2 linked regions of the Bombyx mori genome follow. The protein of the gene in region 2 binds, or shares a complex with, the protein of the main gene of each other region. Links are inferred from orthologs where the notes say so. Each region holds a gene or a part of one and is shown on either strand. Other genes may lie near its edges. The genes, in order: N6-adenosine-methyltransferase catalytic subunit and RNA-binding protein spenito.

Evidence for each region.
Region 1: RNA-binding protein spenito (region 2) and N6-adenosine-methyltransferase catalytic subunit share a complex: the UniProt entries of both Drosophila melanogaster proteins name them as parts of the WMM complex. The link is inferred for Bombyx mori from reciprocal best matches to the Drosophila melanogaster genes nito and Mettl3.

Annotation. Positions count from the first base shown.
Region 1 is NC_085126.1:4,836,461-4,840,983, forward strand, and holds the start of N6-adenosine-methyltransferase catalytic subunit, read right to left. Parts: upstream 2,808-4,523; 5' UTR 2,473-2,807; coding exon 2,289-2,472; intron 1,828-2,288; coding exon 1,635-1,827; intron 1,227-1,634; coding exon 1,096-1,226; intron 842-1,095; coding exon 750-841; intron 1-749. Other genes in the region: NADH dehydrogenase [ubiquinone] 1 beta subcomplex subunit 9, read left to right, coding at 3,541-3,635. UniProt on the Drosophila melanogaster protein: Catalytic component of the WMM complex, a complex that mediates N6-methyladenosine (m6A) methylation of mRNAs, a modification that plays a role in the efficiency of mRNA splicing and is required for sex determination.
Region 2 is NC_085125.1:10,174,287-10,178,686, forward strand, and holds the start of RNA-binding protein spenito, read left to right. Parts: upstream 1-1,484; coding exon 1,485-3,731; 3' UTR 3,732-4,400. UniProt on the Drosophila melanogaster protein: RNA-binding protein that acts as an associated component of the WMM complex, a complex that mediates N6-methyladenosine (m6A) methylation of mRNAs. M6a modification plays a role in the efficiency of mRNA splicing and is required for sex determination.

The sequences.
Region 1 (4,523 bases), on a different chromosome or scaffold from region 2:
GAAGCTTTTCATTACACACGCACGCACGCACGCACGCACACACGCAAACGCACGCACGCACGCACACACGCAAACGCACGCACGCAAACGCATGCACGCACGCACGCAAACGCACGCACGCAAGCACGCACACGCACGCACACGCACGCACACGCACGCACACACACATTATAAATTACAAATATTATTCATTAAATATTATAAATTAATTATTAATATTACACATTATAAAGTTAACTATAGAAAGGGAGACATTAATTTTGAATTAGAACAGCATCATCTCTCTCTTCAGTGTTTCAGTTTAAAGGATTTGACAGTTGTAATATAACACAGACTTCAAGTCTGGCTGAAGGTGTATGATTCCTATAGGTCTTTCCTTTTTTTTCTACCTAAACTGAGGACCTTGAGAGGCTATTTCAGCTTAACCCTAATAAGTAGGTGATCTCGCAGGGCTCAAACCTGACGACGTTGCTAACACTAGCCCTAGCAAGAGCAGTGCTTAGCAGAATTTACCACCTGATCGGAAATGCGACCCACTGAGACGATCCGGCGAGAAGCTCAGTGGGCTGTGTCTGTGGGTTAATTTACTCACCGAGCCCTTCATCACAAGCGATGGGTTCAACAAGAACAATGACCTATATATTTCCTGATGGTCATTTAATATAGTGTACTACCTATCTCTAACAATATGTATGTGAAATTGCACTATCAGGTTCAAAACAAGATTTGTGAGTTTATTTTATGGTTACCATAATATCTGTGTCGCTCTTGCCAGACTTCTTTTCCTCGGTGGACATCTTAGGAGCTTTTGTAATTGATGTATCTTCAATGGGACTCTCACCTGTCATACAGAGTAAAACTGCTGTTTATTCATGAATAAACTCAATTTAATTTTTATGACACTTCACAGTATTCATAATTGACTTTCCCACTTTGCTTTCTTTAGGTGATCTGTTCGTTCTAAAGAACGGTATGTTCCCATCACTTCATTCAACAGTTGTATTAGAACAAGATCTTTAAACCTATTTGGAAAGGATATCGTCATTATTTGTTTGTGGAGGCAAACCTTTTTGGAGATAAGCATTTGACATTCACCTTTTCTTTTGTTGCTAGTTGTCGTGGTTTCTTCTTCCATCAGAGCTGCAAGAACGGCCGCAAGCCTCCCTGACTCTGCACTCACTACCTCAACGTCAGCATCTGTTGTTACTTCAGTTTTTTCTCTTATACTGTGTAAAAACACAATAATGTAATGTTTGTTTTTGTTATACATTCCTTTCATTTTGTTTTTACATGTTCCCAAAGCAGTGTCGCATGTCTAAATGGCTATCATTTAAAACCACGACTCTTAAAATGATTAAAACACTAAACTCTCAAATATAATTAAAAAGTAGCTAATCTGTCTTTTTTTTCTAGTTTGTATCTCAATTTAATAATATTTTACATCTATTGTAATTAGTTGCTTCAAATTTTACATTTTATTTTCAAATAATTTATTCTTTAACTAGAACTGTAGCATCCAATTTGTAGATAAATGTAAATAAAAAATTAAACTGTAATTTGTGAACACTTTGGAAAAGCCTGGAATGACTTATTTTTAAACATAATATCAACATCCTGATACCTTAAAAACTTACGTGATCAACTTCTGTGTTGCAAACTTCTGTAACAGGTTTGCTACAATCTCCGTGTCCACATCTCCAAGTCCTGGTAGCAGAGCACTGGCAGTAGCAGGTAACTGCAATTGCATATCTGATAGAACTTGTAATAGACGCACTTCCAATGATGCTGGTGGAACGATTGGTTTTGACTTTTCTTGCAAAGTTGAAGCTGGAATAATAAATCATTGTATTTTATTCTAATAGCATTGGTAGAGACTAGTACTAAAGTTTGTTTTGCTCTTTGGTGAATTATTAGGTATTCTTATTTCGGCCGTGAAGCAGTAATGCGTTTCAGTTTGAAGGGTGGGGCAGCTGTTGTGACTATACTGAGACCTTAGAACTTATATCTCAAGGTGTGTGGTGCACTTACATTGTAGATGTCTATGGGCTCCAGTAACCACTTAACACCAGGTGGGCTGTGAGCTCGTCCACACGTCTAAGCAATAAAAAAAAAAAGGGAGTAAGATCTAAACTTTATACTAAAGTTTTTCCACCTGTGTTTCGGCTTAGTCTTCGTGTTTGCTTTACTACTTTCTATGATACTGTTTAGTACCGATACGAATACTATATTTTGCGAATTCGATATGCATTTTGAAAAGAATAAAATTTAAATCTACTTTATTTATTTACCTTCTGATTTTGAAGCCGGGCTACCAAGTGATCGATCTTTATTAGGAGAGGCATCAGATTTCTCGCCACTGACCAAACTAGAGCTCAAGATACTTTGGCGTTCCTTTTTTCGTTTCTCCAACTTTTCACGGAAACTTTTCCTTTTGCTTTTTACAGCTTGTATTTCCTCCCAAGCGTCCGACATAGTGAATATTTGTTTTTTTATTTTATGCCCTAGTAATGTGATTTTCACTGGCTATTTCATGGTTATTGGGATATTTTTTGTGATTTTTGAGATAATATTTGCTAATTCGATTTAATATTAAAGTAATAATCTTACTTAAACCAAGCAAATCTTAATCGCTGATTAAAAGTTAACTTATAAAAATTCTTGATACATAATGTACCTACATACTTTTAATTCATAAAATTAGGTTTAAGCGAGTTAAATAAGCTATTAAATCTCACAATTTTATTTGTCAAACAGCAAGTTTGATAATTTTTTTATCGGTAAGTACCATAGACCTGTCAAATGTCAATTGAGCCATTTGAGATTTTTTTTATAGATTGCGATACTTAGGGCAAGGGCGCAGCGACGGATCGTTTTTATAGCTTAGCGCTGGCTCTCGGTCGGGGGCTGCCTGGACTCTTAACAATTTATAATTAATAATTATAGAAGTAGAAACACAATCATAATTTGCATCTGTGCTTGAACTAGGTGATAAAACCTGTATCTTAAGTAAAAATACAATTTCAGTTATTTAAGTATGTTGATTTAATTAATAAATTAAAAATGTATAATTAATAAATGACCGGCGACATTCGGTTACTTATATATTTATGACGGTTGCTTTTAACATTCCCAATAGGCAGACTAGATTAAAATATCGATTTTATATACTATATTGTAGTGGAAAAAAATACGTAAATTTATATTTTATGGAATGTTAATGAACGCCAGCTAGAAAACTATTTAAACTAGTATCAAACTGCAACTTTGTGATTTGTTACTATTTAGGGTGTTTCAAAATCATGATTTGTAAAAAAACTATATCTTTGCAACAGCCGTAAATTTCATGAAATGTCAAGTTGGAAATTGCATTTAATCGCTTTAATTTGAAATAGTTCCAAAAAAATTAAGTATGGCACATTTGACGTTTAACAATAGGTCTGCATCAAATAATAATAATACACGTCATTTACGTATAAGTAGGTATCTTATTGTTTGACTTTATAGGTGCTTGTTTGTCGTTCGTTCTCTAATATTACAGAAATGTCTTTTGCTCCTGAACTTAGAAGCCATTCACAAAAAGTATGTAATTTTTACAAACGAGCCATGAGAACTCTTGAAGCTTATCATGTTGCAAGGTAAGCTTCTTCCGCATGTAAAATTTTATCTTCGGCGTATGTTGTTTTTCCGTATCAATTTATAGTAAGTTTTTGGCTTGAAAACGGTATTGATTCAATTTTATTGGTGGGTTCAGGTGCATCACTTTAGTTATTTGAATTTATTTGTGCGACCGCTTGTCGATAACTTTTATTAAATTAAACTATACGTAATTATTAATTTAAATTATTGCTAGATCATATTATTTGCACCATAATAAATCCAAACCATTTTCATGTCTTCATAATTTGAATGAGTTCCATACTAATGATTATACGACAACAGGGCTAAGTGCACACTACGATTAAAATTCGGTGCTAAAAAATATCGCAAATCTGTGAGCAATAGAAAAAACACTACAATCCGCGCTCTCCGAAAATAAATCGTTTGCGATGTACCGTATGAAGTGACACCAAATCCAGCGCATTGCGAAAAAATAAAAAAAAATCTTCAAACTTCTGTTACGTAGAAACAAGTACCGTACATAGTTTATAATTGTAACTTTCTTCTGTAAATCCATGTTTCCAATTTCCATGTACACTTATCCCCCATATAGATATAAGTAACTGCCTCTAAATTATTTTGCTTAGTTTGTCGGGGATGGACTTTATCGGAAATGTCATTATCATGACCGCATTTTGTGCAATTGTCGAATATTACACGCAGACACAGCCCACTGGGTTTCTCACCGGATCTTCTCAGTGGGTCGCGTTACCGATCTGGTGGTAAATTCTGCGAAGCATGGCTCTTGCTAGGGTTCGTGTTAGCAACGTCGTCAGGTTTGAGCCCCGTGAGCTCACCTAGTTATGGTTACGCCTAAGCTGATAGCCTCTCAAGGCTATCAGCTTAGGAAAAAAAAAGAAACGTCG
Region 2 (4,400 bases):
GTTGGTGCAACTAAATAAATAAATAAATTAAAACTATATATAAAAATAAAAGTAGTGCCAACCCTAGCAAATTTCTCATTTCGTCCCAATTAACCGCAATTTTCGGGTAAATAGGGATTAGACCTATTTTTGCATTTTTTGCTTAAACTGGAATGCTAGTTGCATAATTTTAAATTAGACAACAAAGATGCCCCCAAGACTCAATCATTTTGATCCTGATATAGCATTATATACATCAACAACTACCATAAAATTGCTCATAAAGTTGGAATTTGTCCCTAATCGCCCCATTTTACGGTACTACACTGGTAGCATTTTTTTAAAGTGATTTTATGATCTGGTAACTAAGACTTTTTGGTCATGTCTTTTTTTAATTTTAATGACAGCTTTTTTAATGAAAAATGATATTATGAAATGAAATGAAGTTGATTATTATTATACATGGCATGAAATGAAAACGAAATGAAATGAAATGAGATAAGATGATATGGAATGAAGTATAATCTCAGTAAAATAGGGGTCATTTGCTGAGACTTTTTCAGTGAACTTTTTGGAAGATCCCGAGAAGTTACGTTCAGTGGCTTTGTTTCATTTTCCCATTTGTGCACTTTCACAGATACTAAATAGTTAATAAACCACGTTATTACACATTCAAACCTAAGAAACACTATTAAATAAAACAAAGCACACAACTTCACTTCTCGCGTTCCCGCCAAAAAGTCCAGATCATAGGTAGCTTTACTTCTCTTGGGATACAGATCAGTAATTTTCTCTATTAAGTATTCAGTTTAGCAGTCCATATTACAACAATTAGTTAATTAAATCATAGCAATTTCGACAGTAGCATGGATGTGACTTGTTATGTGGGGGTTGTCCAAAGAATTGGATGGTCTAGACCATGCTGATGACTAATGTTTTTTTAATCATGAAGTTGTCTGCATGCAATCCAAACTGGACGATATATAGTTGGAAGCGCCAAAGTTGGTTTTAAGATCAACTCGATGAAGACCCAAAAAACACTTATCGGACAAAATCCGCTACCCGTAAAGCTGGTTACAGAACCGAAACAGCGTACCTATCGTACATAATACAACTCAGAAGAAACGGCAAAATAATTTGGGGAAATATGTACAAGAAATTCAGAAATCACATTTGGCAACCCTCAGCCAAACTGCCATTTTGTGAGATTCCCATGTAATGGTCGATATTCTTGATGCTTATCAGCGCTTCTAATTTCAAATTTACATTAAATAAAGTTGAAGTGAACGTGATTATTTTAAAATAATTGTCTACTTAATAATACGAATTAGTTCGTCCAAGATTGAGGTTTTCAGTGATCTGCTGAGTGATTAGTGTTTGTAATTCGTTTGGGGTAAGAATAGTGCATCAGTGGGTTACTTTATTGTATCGACCAAAACTAATTTACAGTGACGTGTAATATTGTGATGTGTATTTCAGATAGTAGTTCGTCGAAGTGAGCTTTCATGATTGGATTACCGCGTAGCGATAGAGATAGAGATCGAATTACGGTGAAAATTCGCAATATGAAGCGAAGTTCGTCGCGTGATAGTATGCCGCGATCAAAACGGACACGCAGCAGTATTGGTAGGTATGACGATAGCTCTGACGAGCGTGGAAGCCCGGAACGAGTACGACGTCGAGTACGCTCCCCTAGCCCGCGCGGTCGATATGTGTCACCTCATCGCGATGATTACGTGCGTTCTCGTGATGCTCGAGATGAATCTGTCCGCAGCTACTACAAAGTACTATGTGTTAGTGCTTTACACCCTAAAGCGTCGGATGAGATTGTCAAGGATACTTTGTATAGAGAATATAAGAAGTATGGTGACTTTAGTATAAAAATATCCCATGAGTTGGATGAGAGAGTAGCCTACATCTGCTTCCGAAGTGCAGAGGATGCGAGAGACGCTAAACATGCCAAGCCTAGGATAATACTGTATGATAAAGTTGCTATTGTTGATCCTGTTTATGAACCTGTACGTTCTGAGTACAGACCGAGGCCTCGTAGTATAACTCCTCCTGACTATGATCGCCCTTATTCATACGCTTGGTCTCCTGTACCAGAGAGACGTCGTCCCCCTCCTGATGAGAGAGCCTATGGTATCCCTCCTACAGTGCCACCTCACCATAGAGATTTCCGCCCTCCTATGCATGAGTATCCCATGGCAGGTCCTCATGGGCCTCCAATGCATCACAGACCACCTATGCATCACCCTCCACATCCCCATTATATGCCACGTCCATACATGCCCCGGCCTCACCATCCTCCATTTGAGAAAATTGAGAACAAAAAAGATAAATTTCCAAATTACCTACACCATGTTCAACCTGAAGATGATCCATTAGCTACAAGAACTCTTTTCGCTGGTAATTTAGAAATAAACATTTCTGATGAAGAGTTACGCCGAATTTTTGGACGCTATGGTATAGTAGAGGACATTGACATTAAAAGACCTCCTCCAGGTACTGGAAATGCTTTTGCATTTGTTCGTTATCAAACTTTGGACATGGCACACAGAGCCAAAGTTGAATTATCAGGCCAATACATTGGCAAATTTCAATGTAAAATAGGTTATGGCAAAGCTACACCCACAACACGTGTCTGGGTGGGTGGCCTGGGACCATGGACTTCAGTAGCACAGTTAGAGAGAGAATTTGATAGGTTTGGTGCCATTAAAAAGATTGAATATGTGAAGGGTGAACCTCATGCCTATATTTTATATGACTCTATTGATGCAGCCCAAGCTGCTGTCAAAGAAATGCGGGGCTTTCCTTTAGGGGGACCGGAGCGACGTTTGCGTATTGATTTCGCAGACGTTGGAACAGGTGGACCCTATAGACCTAAACCTTACAGTGCACCTGTTGGTGAAGATGGTAGGCCTGTTGAAGGATATGAGGGATATGAAGGTAGTTCTTGGGAGGATGGTTATAGCTATGGTACTTATAGGGGTAGAGGTGGGCATCGTGGCCGTGGACGTGGCTCCTACAGAGGTGTCTATCATGGTACAGGAGATTATCGTGACGAAGAATGGAGACGTGCTCCATTAGATTCAGAATATGAGAGTCGCTTGCGTCGTTCTGGATCAAGGGAGCCTGGAGTCGATAGGTCACGCTCACGATCTCGTCGTAGATCACCTGATAGTGACTCTGATGGATCAATGCGTAGAAGTAGTGGGATGCTATCTTCGTCACGAACAATGGCAGAATTAGTTCGTAAAGCAACTACAATTTGGCATGGAGCACTGATTCTCAAAAATTCATTGTTTCCTACTAAGTTGCATTTAACAGACGGTGACTCTGAAATTATTGATAGTCTCATGAAAGATGAAGATGGTAGAAAACAGCTCAGAATCACACAAAGATTACGTTTGGATCAACCTAAGTTAGATGATGTTCAAAAACGTATTGCCACATCTAGCTCTCATGCCATTTTTGTGGGTGTGTCTGGTTCTACTGCTGTAGTCACCAATGAAGATGTTTCGATACAAACACGACCAATGAGGAATTTGGTATCATATCTTAAACAAAAAGAAGCAGCAGGTGTGATATCACTTTTGAACAAAGAGACTGAAGCTACTGGAGTTCTTTATTCTTTCCCTCCATGTGAATTTTCAACTGACCTTCTCAAAAGAACGTGTCACAATTTAACTGAAGAGAGTTTTAAGGAAGATCACCTAGTTATAGTAGTAGTACGAGGTGGCACTGCTTAATTATTCAAACACTGCTTTAGTATATTGTATTGTTATTTGTAGGTATATACTCTTAATTTAAGTTTTTTGTTCTACACTTTTTACTTTATATTCTTGTGATGTGTGTGATGTGAGGTGCATAAGATGTGCAAGTTTAAATATTTGTGCAGTGCTGTGTTCTCACAGTGATCAGAATTAACTTTGATGAAAATGTACAGTATAGAAGCTAGTTCAGCTAGATATCCGACTAAAAGAAGTTTATCTTACTTTTTTAAAGTTAAGTGTATAATATTCAGTGTATGATTTAGGTGATGTGTAGTGTGTGAACAAAACAAATAGATTATTTTAATTTTGAAAGTTGTTTTTTTAAACCTTGTGATTAAGTGACATATCCAGTGCAGTTGATCCATTAGTGGTTTTGTGATGTTAAGGTGTTCCAAAAAAAAAAGTATTGTGAATTTATGTTTTGGTATGTCCATTAATTTGCAAAAAAATGATTATAAAAGGATGTACAGTGGAACAACAAGTCAGTGGTGTGTTGTGGTTTTAACAGTAAAATTACCAAATTTAGAGTCAATTGAAGACAAATTTTCTACAATTTACAAATATGGTGATATAAATGTTGACTCAGTATTGTTTGTGATTTGACGTGTTTCATATTATAATATAAAACTGAAACTGGGTAAGTCT